Linked DNA regions of Mus musculus: regions 1 and 2 are each reported to be linked to region 3. Evidence: microRNA targets listed by miRTarBase, many of them from high-throughput screens and not tested one by one. Region 3 holds a microRNA gene; each other region holds the end of a gene's coding sequence.

Region 1 (5,061 bases), not on the chromosome of region 3:
GCAGTCCTTTGGAGGCAGCAGAAGGGGTGAGAGTTTTGTGCAGCTTCAAGGCTCCTTAAAATAACTTTCATTTCTCAGGTGGTCCCTTTCTCAGACAGAATGACACTCCCTGCACCCAAGACTATGCCTAGCTTCAGGCCATCTTGTTTTCCAGATATTAATGGCAACTTTCAATCCTCAAAAAAAAAAAAATTAATTAAAAACAATGTTAAAGCTGAAGATCTTGGTCTAGCTTTCTTTCTAGCTTTCTTTCTTTCTTTCTTTCTTTCTTTCTTTCTTTCTTTCCTTTTTTTTTTTTTAATTGAGGAGCAAGGCTCTTTGAAACCTTTTCACCCTTTTAGGTTACCCAAACACCTGTCTTTTTCAGGGGGTGGAGGGGAATCTCCTACAGCGTCTAGGCAGCTGAGATCTGGCTTCAGAGTTTGCAGGCCCCATAAGAGAGCCATTTACTGCTCTGAATTCTGCCTTCTACTCTAAAAGTCTATGCACCCCATTTCCTCAGACCTCCAATTTTGGTAATAAGTGCAGTGTGGGGAGGCCAGTATAAATTACCTTGTAGAGAATATTTGCTAAGCTGTAGTCCAGCCACTCCCCATTGGCTGGAGATCTAAAATCGGGCAGCTCTTTCCTTGATCGGCATTGAGATGGCAAGGGACTCTCAAGGGCTGGGTGCTCAGCCAGCCAACAGAAGACCCTTCATCCCCTCCCCAAACTTCCTCCATAGTAAGTAAAGCAGTTCCCTCAGCCGGATGCAGAGACCTGTTCCTTTTACAAACCCACCCATAAATTTTATAACAGGTAGTTAAAAATTACGACGAGGAAGCGGTGGCCCAGCTTTTCACAATGGCAGCGGGAAGAATGGGGCAGCACTGCCGGGTAACTCACCGGAAATTTTACTTCCAGATTGTGGCACACAACCTGTCCTGAATCCTCTTTAATTGGGGCTGGGGGTGACTTTTCAACTTTCAGACACTCTCTGGGGCATCTCATGCCAGGAATATGAAACTGGGGAAGCCAACCCACCCTCTCCTTCAAGGGGTCCCCTGGGAGCCCCTCAGCAACACACTTCTTCCCTTGGAGCCCCAGATTTCTCCAAGACCTGCATCTTCTTTGGACATTCAGTGAAACAGTAGAGGAGGAAAGTGCGAAGATTTTTTTTTTAATCCCGAGAAACGAATTTGCCCCCCAACTTAATAGCTGCATCATTCTGTCTTTACCGTTGAGATTAGAATAATAAATCCAAGGCGAAATGAGCGAGATGCTTCAACTCAGCATTTTGAAAGATACTATTTTTCACAAATCACAAATAGCTTTCGGAAGCCACTTTGATTGGCTAATAAAAAAAGTAAAGAATGGGAGAAAGTCGTATCTGCAGAAACGGAATGGTACCCATTTCGGTAATGGGACGACGGCAGCATTTAGGAGCAAGCATTTCTAAAGAGCGCATCCCGCTCTCGCAATTACATTCCCCCATAAAACGGGTTTTTAACCTCCTTTTCTTTCCAAACGAGAAAACTGAAGTGGTGAGCAGGGAAAGCGGGGAGTGGGTAACGCACAAGGGGACGCAGGGGCTCCTTAGGTCTAACCCTCTGGCTGCCCGACATTGCCAAAGAAGCCGGGCGCCAGACGCACCCCGCCCTCCGACGCGACGGCTTGGGGCCATGGACATTGCTGAGCAGGGGCAGGAATGAATGAGGGGTTGGTGTTGCGGGGTGTTGGGGGAGAAGCAGCAAGGCCCTTCGGAATTATTTGATAAGGGAGTCATACCGCTCTTCTTCAGGGCAGGATATTATTATTTTTATCAATAGCAATCATAATCTCATGATTAAAAAAATGAAACGGGTCTTCCTCTGTGGTTCCCACAGAGTCTGGTGGGAAGTGAAATGTTTTCAGACCTCCCTGGCCAACACCCCATGTCTCCCAAGCTAAATGTGATCACTTGGTTGCCAGCAGGGACCCCAAATTCTACAGATTTCCTGGCAGGTTCTACTTCAAGTTATCCCCAAGCTGTCCTTTCTGGTTCACAGGCAGTGTTGCGGGAGCCCTAGGAAAATCACTTGACAAATTTTGAGGCCTTTTTATAGGGGCCAGAGATTGGGACCCTGGTGAAACACTTGGCCTGGGCCTAGGTTAAAAAACATTGACCCAAAGATCTGGTTTCAAAAATATCTCTGTCTTTGGTGGTCTGTCTTTGAAGGCCAGAAGTCCACCCTCCCTCCCCTCTTCCTCTGGTCTGGTTGAGCCAGCCTCCTTGTATCTCTGGAATTTGGAATGGTTTGAGCAGAATTTTATTGGCATAAACAGATTTGTCTGCCTAGGACCCTCCAGAATGATCCCATTAGTAGCTGGGCTCTACTCTTTATTTTAGAAAATGTCAAGATTCCCTTTGCCCTACTGTGGCTGGGCTTGGGGACTGTCCACTCAGCAGGGCCATCCTCCCAAATCAGTAGTCCCAACTGTGGTGGCCAGGCAAGCTGCTCAATTGTCAGAGTGAAGCCAGCCAAGAGCTGGCTTGAAATGGCCAAAAAACGGAGGCTATGTGGACAGAAGAGGGCTGAGTAGCCATGACAGCCTTATGCTAGTTGAATTTGAATTCCAGGGTGCAGACTCTATCTTACTCATTTGTCCTTCCTTTATCCTCTGCCCCAGGCAGAAGCTTCTTCACCCTCACCACTACACTTTGGCATTTTCAAACCGAACTCTCCTGACTATGCAGCTACCTTTAACCGCATAATTTCCCAACCCCATCCACTATTTCAGTATGAGGTAGTGGATGCTAAGGAGTGGCCACAAGCGGGAGACATGTAAATATCAGAAAAGAACCCCCACCATCTCACCCTTGGCCTAAAACCCTGAAAGAAAGGGCATAGTCACAGGAAGAGCATAGGGCCAACTCTTTATATGGACCCAGCCCAGAGACCAGGAAGCTAAAGCATGAGTTCTGTCTTCCCACTTAGGTCCCAATACCTACAAACCTCATTGGTTATTAAGACTAGTGTAAGTAAGTAACCCTTCTTCCTTCTCCCTTCCAGATGTTCTCTTCACCTCCTCCTCCTCCTCCTCCTCCTCCTCCTCCTCCTCCTCCTCCTCCTCCTCCTCCCCCCACTAGCCACCTGCCCTACCTGCTATGCCTGCCCTCTCCACCCCACTTCCAAGTTCCACCACCCAAAGCAAGATCAGTGCGGGGCCTTTTGCAGAGCTGGGAAAGGGAATAAAGAGAGGGAGGAGTAGAAAATGGGGAAGAGTTATAGAGAAACAGCAAGTCATTCCAGCTCTACTTTTTAATTCTTTTTTTTTTATTATGACTCACGTATACAATACAAAGTACTTGGACCAGGAACAGAGCTTTCAGGACACAAAATCTACATTCATAGCTGGACATAAAGACAAATGACCAAAATTATTATTATAGATATATTTTAACGTTTTTTTTTCCTTTCGAGCACATTGCATAAACAGAGAATTCAAGACAGAGTAACTATACATTCAGTGCAGTTTAGTTCTACTCTACTGGGGTTAGAAGCACAATAAAAGCGCACAAGACCGGCGGGCTAGGCAGTCTCAGTTGTTGGGATTTTTTTTTTTCTTAGTGAAAGAAGCAGCAACAAACAACAACAAAACCGCATTACAAATACTCTCAAAGCAGGATTTCTTTCTATAGGTAGTGATAAAATACGCTGGAGGTTTCTTCCTTTTTTCTTTTTTTTCTTTTTTTTTCTTTTTTTTTTTCTCCCTCCTGTATTAGGAATTTTTCTTTCTTTTTTTTTTTTCCCCCAAGATTATTGCAGGTTCCCTTTAGGTAGTATGTTAAAGATTTATTATCAGTATATTATTTTCATGATTATGGTGACTTCTGAGCACAAACACTAACACAGCTCAGAGGAAGCCGGGGGCCCAAAAGATCAAACAGCAAAGGCAAGGCAAGGAAGGCATGGACCCAAGTGACTATGGGATGGATAGGTAGGATTTCAGAGACCATTGCCAGTTCTAATAGACCCCTCAGGAAGGAGGTGGGTAGAGAAACCCACATCTCCTTGATTTCCAGCAGATTCCTGGAGAAAGTCAAGGGGGTTTTTCTAAGGAAAGAGCCTCAGAGGGGGAGGGGAATCTTCTTTGCTATCTTTTATTTCTTTTTAATTTTTCCTTTCATTTCCCCCTTTCCTGTTTTTTTCCTTCTTTCTTTTCATTAAAAAAAAACTGTTTATCCAGTATTCTAATTCCCAGCATACAAGCAAAGCCAGGAATCATCTTCTATATCTTCAGGGGAATCCCTTTTAAAATAAATACCAGAGAAGCACCGTGAAGAGGGAGTGTGGAGAGAAGTGTGTGTGTGTGTGTGTGTGTGTGTGTGTGTGTGTGTGTGTGTGTGTGTGTGAAGGGTTAGACTTTATGGGGAAGGGCTCAGAAGGTGGGAGCAGGAACAAGAGAGTGTATGCTGGGCATGGAGTAGAACAGAACTTTTCCCTGTGTCTCAGGTTCCCCCTCCCAACCCCCAGACAAATAAAGAGTGGGGGAAGCCCAAAGGTAATAAAAGCAGAGCTGCAACTATCTGACAGGTAGTTAGAGTTGTGAGTGTCATTCTATTCTCTATAAAAGCAAATGACAGTCGTAAACTTCTCAATTTATCTGCTACCATAAAACGAAACTTCAAGGGAGTTGCTGGGGGGGGGGCTGATTTTCTCTCTCTTTTTTTCCTTAGTCCTTATTTTCTTCCTTTTCCTCCTCCTCTTTCTCCTCTTCCTCATTCCCTTCTTCTTCCACCTTCTCCTCATCTCGGGCCCCAGGCAGTTTATCCTTGTTGTTCTCCTTTTTCCACTTCATCCTTCGATTCTGGAACCAAATCTTCACTTGTCTTTCTGTCAGTCCCAGGGCGTGAGAGACTTCAATCCGGCGCTTTCTGGTCAAATAAGGATTAAAGAGAAACTCCTTCTCTAGTTCCAAGGTCTGATACCGGCTGTAAGTTTGTCGACCGCTGCGCCGCCCAGGAGCTGAACAGAACAGAACCCCAGTCTGGTTATGTCTGGGTGGGGGCTCCGCCCCCCAACACAGCCCCACAAACTT
Region 2 (5,061 bases), not on the chromosome of region 3:
AGCTCGGCGCCCCGGCCCGCCCCCCGCCCGAGCCGTCGGCAGCTCGCGGACTGGTGGAACTCGGAGACCTGAGAGCGTGCGCCCTTTATACAGCCCCGGAGCGGCGCGGCGGCGGGGCAAAGCGCACCGGGGGAGGGGACTGAACGCTGACCGGCCGGGGTCTCCAGGCAACGCCGCCCGCCAGCCCGCGGACGTCAGGCTCCTTCTCGGCTTCTCATTGGTCGCCGCCAATTTTTCCCCTTCGGGGGAGGGGAGGAGAGGGGAGGGGAGGGGCGGGCAGCCTGGGCGTCCCGAGCGGCGTGGGGCGTGCGGCCCCCTTGGGTCCTGCTGGGTGGCGGCGGCGGGAATACCTCGCTCTCCTCCGCCTCTACGAGTATAACGTTGGAAAGCACGTACACGTTCTATCTGCCCAGGACGGGGCTACCCGGGACGTGCCTTTCCTCGCCCGATCCGGCTGGGCCGACTGGCGCAGCTTTTATCTCCCATCCTAGTTTTTGCTCCGCGCGCGGGAACAGCAAAACAGCAATGGTGCGCTTGGCCAAGTTGCTTGGGACTAGGAACGGGGGTCGCGGCCTGTCCCGTAGGTGGCAGCTCCGGCCCGGCTGCACGTGGAGACGCAGTAGGGGTGGGGGCGGGAGCGGCCAGCCTGGAGGAGCATTGGCGCGTTTCTCCGCCCCTCTCCCCGCCCAGGCTCAGTAAACAGGACTTGAGCGCTGCGGCCTGTGGGGCAGAGCCGAGTGTCTGAGGACAAGGCGCTGGCTTTGCTAATCACATCACAAGACCTTGAGCCTGGGCCAAAGGCGCCGAGTGGCGCGGGGTGTCCGGGGCGGGAAAGCCTATTCCAGGGGACTAGAGGGAAGTCGGAGGAGCAGTGTGGACATAGAGGAAGTCACTTCCTTCACCTTTGTGCCTGCTGGTTGGCCTGGCCTCCTCTCGGGGATGTGGGTGCAGCTCCTAGCCAAGGCTTCCCGCCTGTACAGCCTTGGCCTGTCGAATCCTGCAACCTTCCTCCTTCTGCTGTGGGAGGCGCGGCATTGAATCTAAGCTTTGTGTGAGCTGCCGGAGGCGAGGCGGTGATTGCTGAACCACCACCCAGGTTGGGGGAAAGAGGTCCTCATTCGGTTGCCTTTAGTGCAACTCCTACCAGCTTTCCATGGAAAAAGCAGTCCCAGAAGGCCCCTGGCTCTTTTTGAGAGGGGTCTCACACACACACACCTCCACACACCTAGCGACCCCCACCCCCACCCCGTGAGGCCCATCTGGTCAGGTCCAGAACCCTTTATCCCTACACTTCATACTGGCTGCCAAAAGCTGGAGTTGGGCCCATGAATTCACCCAGCTGGCAGTCCGGGTTGCCCTGGGTGGAAGGCCCAGTAGTTGCCAGAGAAGGCTGCTTGACCAACTACATCCTTCCCATGTTGCTCTTCCTGTCTGGTTGACCCAGTCCAGTGTGCACTTGGGCTGTATCAGTTAACCTTGAAGCTAAGGAGGTAGATCTGTCACTCAAAGGCTCCTGAGTCCAGGTGCATTTGGCCACACTGCAGTGCATGCTGCCCCTGTAGGTAGAGCCAATGGCTGCCAGAAGACTGTAGTGTCTTGGACGTAGTGCTGAGTGGGTTGGGTACGGTGGTTCATGCCTATAGTCCTAGCACTAATCACAAACTGTGGTGAGTTTTAGGCTAGCCTTGCACAGCTTAGTGTGAGAGTGAGACCATACCCCTATAAAGGAACAAAGCCCTCACCATCTTATATATTAAAGCAAACTGGCTTTTGGCTGTGGTCTGAGCAAGGGGCCACCCAGATCTTAGGACCCTCAAGTGTAGTGACTTAGGGAAGATGGCTGCTTCACTCTTCCCACCCACGTTGCTCTTGCCCCTATTACTGCTGGGTTCTGTGGCTGAAAGGACCCCAAATGTAAGCATGAGGCTGTGACTAAGGTTTTCCTGGTTTCTCTCAGGAAAGCATGCAGCAGTCGTTCCCCTAGCTACTGCTAGCAGGATTGCAGATACAAGCCCACCTGTGGAGCCATCCATCCCTCCTGTCCTCCCAGATTGGCCACAGCCAGCCAAGATCCAAGTCTGGGGTAAGTCCCAGCTAATGGCAGACTTGGTAGGATGGACTTGGAGATAACATAAGCCTGCTCTGAAACATGCTTTGGGACAGCATGCCTGCCAATGTGAGATGGTTTTATTGTCATGTAACTGCTTTTATTTCATTTTAGATGGAAGGGGAGAGGGAAGGTTGGGTCCTGTTCAGAATTAATCTCCCAAGGTTGTCACCACCAGCCCCTCTCACCAACTAGATCTTAAAGTAGTGTAATGCTGGGTATAGTGGTGTATGCCTGGAATCCTGGCACTCAGGAGGCAAAGGCAGGAGGATTAACACAAGTTTGAGGCCAGCCTAGTGTAAATAGCAAGCCTGACTCAGAAAACTAAAAGCAAAGCCCAAAACAAACTAAACAATGTTAGGTTTTCAATTTTTCATCAGCAGTGGGTTGCACTGCCTAACTAGGTAATTACTACAGGGCCACACAGACCCCAGGGTGCTGAGTGTTTCTAAGACCACCCAGGGGATTTCTGTTCCTCTTCATGGCCAGGAAGGACACAGCTCCTGACTTCCCTCTCCCTGCGTACAGGTCTCTACTCCAGCACAGCCGTGTTTCTGTGGTGCAGGATGGTTTTCTTCTGAGACCAATTACATGTGAAATGTCAGCGTCTCTGCAGGAGGAGCTAGCATATAGAATGCCTCTCTCCCTTTTCCTCATGATTCTAAGTGACTACTCACTGAGAAGTATCTGAACATAGCTATAGGCCCTACAAGTTCCTTCTATGGCTGGCATGGTCTTTGTGGATAACTGGGAATGTGGATCACACTACAGCAACACATCCACGCCGTGAATTGAAGGCAAGCGTCTGCGGGTGTCACGTACTCTGGAAGCACACGTAGCATGGTAAGCTGGGCCACATGATGCGGCTCAGTGGATAAACGTGCGTGCTCTGCAAGCCTGAGCCTGAGTCGATCTCTGAAGCCCATGCAGAGGCGGGAGGAGAGAGCTGGCTCTATAAAGTTGTCCCTCAACTTCCTCAGACATCCATGCTGGGGCATGGGTGCCCTCCTATCATGTACAGGTGCTGATAATAGTTTTAAAAAGTTTTAAAAGAGTAGGCTAAAAGCGCTAGACCAGCAGCATAATGTGTGCAAGAGCGCCACCTGCTGGTGTTCGAGGATGCCAGCTGGGCTGGGCCTGAAGTGACAAACCCTTCCGGTTTCTATATGGAATCACCTAAAGTGGGTAAATGTGTTTCTTGGCACTCTGCTGTCTCCACCAATCACAGGACGGTGTACAGTGGTGGCACCGAATGAATTAAGCATTTGCTCAGGCTTCCCTTTCCCCAGGCTCTGTCCAATAGCTGAGGCCAGTGATGGGTGACAAGGGTTCCTAGCCTTCGCAGGCATTTCTGGGTAAGACAGTGGGGACTCTTAATATGGACCACTGAAGGACTTGGGCAGGTAGATAGTAAAATGCAAGTATTTGCATGTTGTAGGTTCTTAATATTCCCAGAATCAAACATACCCTTTACTAAAATGGAATAAAAGTTTATAAATATGACCAAATAGGTATTTGCTAAACAAAACCAAACAAAAGAGCACTGTGTGTGTGTGTGTGTGTGAGAGAGAGAGAAAGAGCACTGTGTGTGTGTGTGTGTGTGAGAGAGAGAGAGAGAGAGAGAGAGGGAGAGAGAGAGAGACATGTAAGCTAAGACTGAATTCAATGCAGTCAGTGTATGGGGAAATGGGCGCTGGCTTTGGGATAGAACTGACTAGTTCAGGCCTGCAGGTGGCTTGCACCTGGAGACAGTAAACCTGCAGACAGCAGCTTCACTTCCTAGGTAGCTGCAACTAATTGGGTTGCCTTGAATGAGTGTGCTGCAGACAAGGTCCTCAGTAGGAAGGGACAGAAGCCTAGACTCCCAGAAGTGGGGAGGCACCTGAGGAAAAGAGTTTCAATTGGTGTCCACCATGTATGTGTCTTGCAGACCTGAGCTGAGGCCCAGCCACCTTTCTTCAGCATGCTGCTTCTGTTCTTGGGGCCATTACTTGTCTCCATTCCCTAGGGCAGTCTTCGGCTCTGAGACCCTCCTTTCCTTCCAGGCAGGCCAACAGCCTCAGGACAGCCAAAGTCCTTTCCTCCTGAATGCGCAGCCTCGTGTATTCCACTGTCTTCAAAAACTCAGCTGAGAGTGGAAGTTCTCTGAAGAGCTGAGAGATGAGGTGACTCTGCTCTGATGCTATCCTTTGCAAGTGACAGAGCTTCTGGGAGTGAGGGGACTGCCAGCCAGATTGACAGAGGAGATGGAAGAGTTGCCTACACAGGGATTTCACGAAGGTCAGAGTCTCAGCCCAGAAGTTGACTTCTGATTTTTCAAAGATATGCTCTTCTTCCCCCTACATCAAGTGACAAACAGCCAGAGTAAGTCTCCGAGGAGTCCTGTGGAGCCAGGCACAGCACTAGATGTGGGAGCTGTGTCTATTCCTGACAGGGCCCACTGGGGCTGTCAGCGCCCGTGCCACAGCACTTGCCGCTCTGAAGGTCACCTTCTACTTTCACTCAATACCTCTCTCCCAGCCGGACCACGACCTTTGATAAAGATGTGAATTAGCTCCAAGCCAAGATACTTGGGGAACTGGTGGTGCGGAAGTGGGTCTTAGGTTTTAAGGTGTACTGAGAAAAATCTTAGGTTTTAAGGTGTGCCGAGAAAATTCAGAGGAGGCACAAAGGAAGTCTGGACAGCAGAGCAGAGAGTTACTGGGACATGTGTGATAGCAGCACAAAAGAGACAAAATTTCTAGAATGCTATGGGGGTTTAGGGTCATTTCATCTAAAACACTTTGTTATATCATCTTCCTGTTTCTTATACAGACTGGGTTTTGAAGGGTTGGTATACACTGACTCTTGGTCTGCTCAGGATATGGAGCTAGCTAGTGGTCATATGTGGGGACAGACTGCTGGTTTCCCAGTGGAAAACACAGGTTGCCTATGCTGGTCTTCAGTTTTCAGGA
Region 3 (5,073 bases):
GTAAAAAAAAATTTGTGAGTCTTCCTTGACTTCTGCCTCCTCCACAGGAAAGCCTGGGCAATGGTCATTGAAATAACTGTACTCATGGAGTCAAAACTCCAGTTCTAGGAATTTCTTCTAAAGATATTATTTTATAAGCCAGCAAGATGTTTCAGTGGGTTAAGAAAATTCTTGACTTAGCCAGGAGAGAAACCCTGTCTCGAAAAAACAAAAACAACAACAAAAACAAAACAAACAAAAAAAACAAAGAAAATTCTTGACTCATACCTGAGTACAATCCTTTGAACCCTCATAAAATGGAGTAAGAACCAAATCCCCTATGTTGTCCTCTCACTTCTACATACAAACTGTGGCACAGGGGTGTGTGCCTCTACCTCCCCCCAACACACACAATAATGATAATAAATATATATTTTTTTAATTTAAAGTTCACTTTACAAAGGAATACAGACTCTCCTTTTTTAAAAAAAATAAGGTCTTATTCTGGAACTCAATGTGTAGCCCAGTCTGGTCTCAAATTCTAAGCAGTCCTCCAGTGTTAGCCTCCCAAGTGACAGATGTATGCCACTATACCCTGCTTTCAGAATTCTTTCAAAAAGTTAGAAACTACTAAAATGACTCTGGAAACAGGTCTGGTTTAGTAAGTTATGGTAAGTTAGTGCTCATTTAATATAGCCATTAGAGCTGGAAAGTTGTTCATGACCTTGAGTGAGAAAAGAAAGTCGGCTTTCATGCTTGTCATCCCAGCAGTCAGGAGGAGCAAGAGTTTAGGGTTATCCTCCAATAGAGGATGTAAGGCTAGTCTTTGCTATAGGAGACTGTTTTTAAAACAAAAACTTAGGACTGGAGAGTTGGTCAGTGGTTCAGAACACTGGGTTCTCTTTCAGAGGATTCAGATTTGATTCCCAACACCCACATGGCTGCTTACAACAATTCATAAGTTCTAGTCTCAGGCTCTGACACCCTGTTCTGACCTCTGTAGTTACTAGCCACACATGTTGTGCACAGGCATAGATGTTGGCAAAACACCCATACACATAAAAACCTACAAAAAAGAAAGAAAATATTTTTTTAAAAAGATTTATTTATTTTTTTATTATATGTAATAAGTACACTGTAGCTGTCTTCAGACACACCAGAAGAGGGAGTCAGATCTCGTTACAGATGGTTGTGAGCCACCATGTGGTTGCCGGGATTTGAACTCAGGACCTTCAGAAGAGCAGTCGGGTGCTCTTACCTGTTGAGCCATCTCACCAGCCCAGAAAATATTTTTAAAAAGTGAATTGTCTTAAGCTGGAGAGATGGCTCAGCAGTTAAGAGCACTGACTGCTCTTCCAGAGGTCCTGAGTTCAATTCTCAGCAACCACATGGTGGCTCACAGCCATCTGTAGTGGGATCCGATGTACTCTTCTACTGTGTGTCTGAAGACAGCTATAGTGTACTCAGATAAAAAAAAGAAATAACTTTTTTTTTAAAGTGAATTGCCTTATGTATCAAACAAGATATTTTTTAAAAAGTGGTAGCTATCACAATGTATGGACTGCCTGCCTTCCTACGTATGGCAAATCTTACCTGCTGGATTCTCTAAAGGCATAGAACTAACAGAATAGGGCTGAAGAGATGGCTCAGTGGTTAAGAACACTGACTGCTCTTCCGGAGGTCCTGAGTTCAAATCCCAGCAACCACATGGCTGGCTTACAACCAGTGTACTCCAATACGTTAAATAAATAAACCTTTAAAAAAACTGACAGAGCTGGGCGTGGTAGCGCACGCCTTTAGTCCCAGCACTTGGGAGGCAGAGGCAGGCAGATTTCTTCTGAGTTCGAGGCCAGCCTGGTCTACAAAGTGAGTTCCAGGACAGCCAGGGCTACACAGAGAAACCCTGTCTCAAAAACACCAAGGAAAAAAAAACTGACAGAGTAAATATGCATATTGAAAGTAGATGTATTAGCCTGGTTCAGATAGTTCAACAACTGTCTGAGTGTAAAGCTTGAAAATCTAGTAGTTATTTACTCCACAAGGCTGGATGTCTCTGCAATCCCTGTCTGGTGCTACAGTCCCAGAAGATTCCTGGATAGCTGCTAGTCTCAGTCTACATGGGAATCCTAAAGCAGTTTTATTTAATACCAGCTGCAGCAACAGAATAGATGAATTTGCCGTAGAGAGTAAGGACAAACAGGCAAAAAGAAGGTTTTTCTTGTGTCTTTATATGTGGGCTGCCAGTTTTAGGGTGGGTCTTTCTGCTTCAAATAGTCTGATTCATAAAATTGCTCACCGAAGTGCCTGCCAGCTTGGGTGTTAGTTGATTCCAGATGTTGTCATGTTGACAACCAAGATTTTTCATCACTAGCAGGGACACCACATATATTAGACATAGGGACCCAAGGGAGTGTTACATTGAACCATAAATTATCTGTAACTAGTAGGATTCTGTGTTGTATTGTGTTGTTTTACTTTGTTGAGGCTGGCCTTGAGCTCATTCTATAGTAGAGGCTGCTGGCCCTAAATTTCTAATCCTCCTTCCAGGTACAGAGATTACAGACATCAATACTATACCCAGATCTTCAATTCCATGCTTTTCTGAATGTTTTGCAGAGGTTCATGTTGCTGGTGATGGCTTTCTTTTTTTTGTTGCTTTGTTTCTGGTATTTATTTATTTATTTTCATTTTTGGTTTTTCGAGACAGGGTTTCTCTGTGTAGCCCTGGCTGTCCTGGAACTCACTCTGTAGACCAGGCTGGCCTCAAACTCAGAAATCCGTCTGCCTCTGCCTCCCAAGTGCTGGGATTAAAGGCGTGCGCCACCACTGCCTGGCCTGGTTTTTAATTTTTATTTTCCGTGTAGGGATGTTTTGCCTGCATGTCTGGATGCAATGCCTGAGGAAGCTGGAAGAAGTTGTCGGATCACCTAGAACTGCAGTTACAGACATTGGGAATTGCCCTGGGGGTGATTTTAGTGGGACCTGGGTCCTCCAGAAGAGCATCCAGTGCTCCTTAACCATTGAGCGATCACTTCAGCCCATATCCTCGCTTTCATTCCAAAGACCCTAGGGATTAAATTCAGATCATCAGGCATGGTGACAAACACCTTTACCCACTGAGTGATCTCACCAGCTTAGGTTTTGTCTTTTTGAGACAGTCTCATGTAACCCAGGCTGACTTCCAAACCTCTGTACAGACGATGCTGACTTTGAAGTCCTAATCCCCCTGGCCTCTACTGCCCAAGTGGTGGGACTACAGGCATGTTCCACACTGTGTTTTGGCCTTGAGTTAGAATGTTTCTAAACCTAAAGGTGTTTATATGATTATTACATGTTTATATGATTTTTAACTATGTTGTTTCAATCAACTGAGTGAACTGTCTGGCTTCCTGGGAGCCTCTGTCCAGGTGAGTGTTAGAAAAAAACATGAAAGGATGGATTGTTCTCCTATCTCATTTAAGTGGGCCAGTCAGTGACAGCTCAGTGGACTTTGTGACTGAAGACTGTTAAAATTCAGTATATCGATCCATGATACTTTGTCATAAAATGCAATTAAGACACCCCCTTTAATGGTTTTTGCCTCCATTTCTCATCACAGGACAAGAGGAATTTCCTCCGTGACCCACCAGCTGGTGTGCAGTTTAACTTTGACTTTGATCAGATGTACCCTGTTGCCCTGGTCATGCTCCAAGAGGATGAGCTACTAAGCAAGATGAGATTTGCCCTTGTTCCTAAACTGTAAGCACCATGTTTTCTAAAGAAACACTGCTCACTCCTGCAGTGGTAATTTCTATTTCACAGTAGTATAGTGATTTCACTTTCCTAAGGGCTCTAGTTATATGCATAATGTTAGGGAAGAGTCACTGAATGAAGGCCAGAACCCTCCCTACACTATCTGTTCATCCAAACAGGCCCTGCAGCCCTTCAGAGGCCCTGTGAGCTTGACTGCGTGCCCAGAATGGAAGGAGAGGGCAGACTTGGCAGGAAAGTCAGGTTGATATGTGCTCTTTTGCCCAGTTAAACAGTAGAACATGTTTCCATCAGAAACAACAAATAGACCCAAATCAAATCGGGTTTGTAAAGGCTTGCCTTTTCCCTGAACTCCCATGGCTTGTATTCATGCTCTGCGACAGCTGTGCTTGCTTGTTTTGTTTTGTTTTGTTTTGTTTTGTTTTGTTTTAAACCAAAGAAAGGCCCATCCCAATTCATAAAATCCCAGGTGCCCTTTAAGCTCCAAAGCAAGCAATATTCTGTGATGCTTTGTCACTGGTCTGCCAGCAGAGGGCAGTCTTCCCTGCTGCAGCGTCCCTGGGGCTTTGTGTCCCTCTGACTTTCCTGGAGGGTTTTTGTTGTGTTTGCAGTACTGGAAATTGAATTTAGGACTTGGCTCATGCCAAGCAATTGTTTTAGCATTGAAGTATAACCCTGGACCTCTTTTTGACTTTTTGACAGAGTCTTACTAGATTGCCTAGCTGGGCCTTGAAGTCACTGTGTATCCTCAGCAGGCCTTGAATTTTCAGTCCTGCTCAGGCTCCTACATGAGTGGGTTTACAGGCCTGAGCTCTCAAGCTTAGTCAGAGGGAAGGGGAAGAAGATGATGATGATTGTCATTGCTATTATTTTGTTTATATTTTTGAAGCCAGCTTTCAAAACAGAGCTTGGCTCAAGACTATAATTTTAGTACTTGGGAGGCAGAGGCAGGAGGGTTGTAAGAGGCCAGCCTAGGTCATAAGTGGGAGAGCCTGTTTCTAAACAAAGCCAAAGACAGGCCATGATGACTTGCACTTGTCATCCCAGTATTTAGAAAGTTGAGACACGAGAATCACTATGAGTTTGAGGACAGCTTGGGCTATACAGTGAAACCCTATCTAGAAAAAGTAAAATTAAAAAACAACGAAATCTGGTATTCTTTATTTTGTGAGTGTCCCCCTTCTAGAGTGTCCTTAATCCTTATTTCATGGTTGCAAAATTTTACCATTCCCCAAGGGTACAATTTATAGTTCTCTCAAATATCTTCTTTCTGTAAACTTTCCTCAGAAACTGGTTGGAGCTCTGCCTTCTGGGTTATGGGCTCCATTCCCTTGCCTTCTGCAG

The links. The annotated mature microRNA mmu-miR-3473a reads UGGAGAGAUGGCUCAGCA and lies in region 3 at 1,295-1,312, shown strand. An mRNA with a match to its seed (bases 2 to 7 or 8) in the 3' UTR can be bound and repressed. Matches are read on the target gene's strand: a 7mer-m8 pairs with bases 2 to 8, a 7mer-A1 pairs with bases 2 to 7 and ends in A, and an 8mer does both.
Region 1: the mRNA of Hoxc8 is a reported target of mmu-miR-3473a. Seed matches in the 3' UTR shown: 8mer at 4,314-4,321.
Region 2: miRTarBase lists Thada as a target of mmu-miR-3473a. Seed matches in the 3' UTR shown: 7mer-m8 at 3,735-3,741 and 7mer-m8 at 3,046-3,052.

What each region holds. Positions count from the first base shown.
Region 1 is chr15:102,992,490-102,997,550 of GRCm38, reverse strand. Hoxc8 (homeobox C8) reads right to left here. Exons shown (of 2, transcript NM_010466.2): 2 at 3,297-4,988. The coding sequence ends at 4,696. Gm29905 (a long non-coding RNA gene) reads left to right here. Exons shown (of 2, transcript XR_384486.2): 2 at 1-219. Among named protein-coding and RNA genes, the nearest start is that of Gm29905, 3.1 kb to the left of the region's middle.
Region 2 is chr17:84,187,886-84,192,946 of GRCm38, forward strand. It overlaps Thada (thyroid adenoma associated), which reads right to left. Exons shown (of 38, transcript NM_183021.3): 38 at 2,171-4,446. The coding sequence ends at 4,066. Zfp36l2 (zinc finger protein 36, C3H type-like 2) reads right to left here and starts at 62. Exons shown (of 2, transcript NM_001001806.2): 1 at 1-62. It overlaps Gm36279 (a long non-coding RNA gene), which reads left to right and starts at 4,303. Exons shown (of 4, transcript XR_385852.4): 1 at 4,303-4,387.
Region 3 is chrX:162,871,159-162,876,231 of GRCm38, reverse strand. Mir3473a (microRNA 3473a) reads left to right here and starts at 1,237; the gene lies at 1,237-1,314. Syap1 (synapse associated protein 1) reads left to right here. Exons shown (of 9, transcript NM_025932.2): 5 at 3,578-3,717.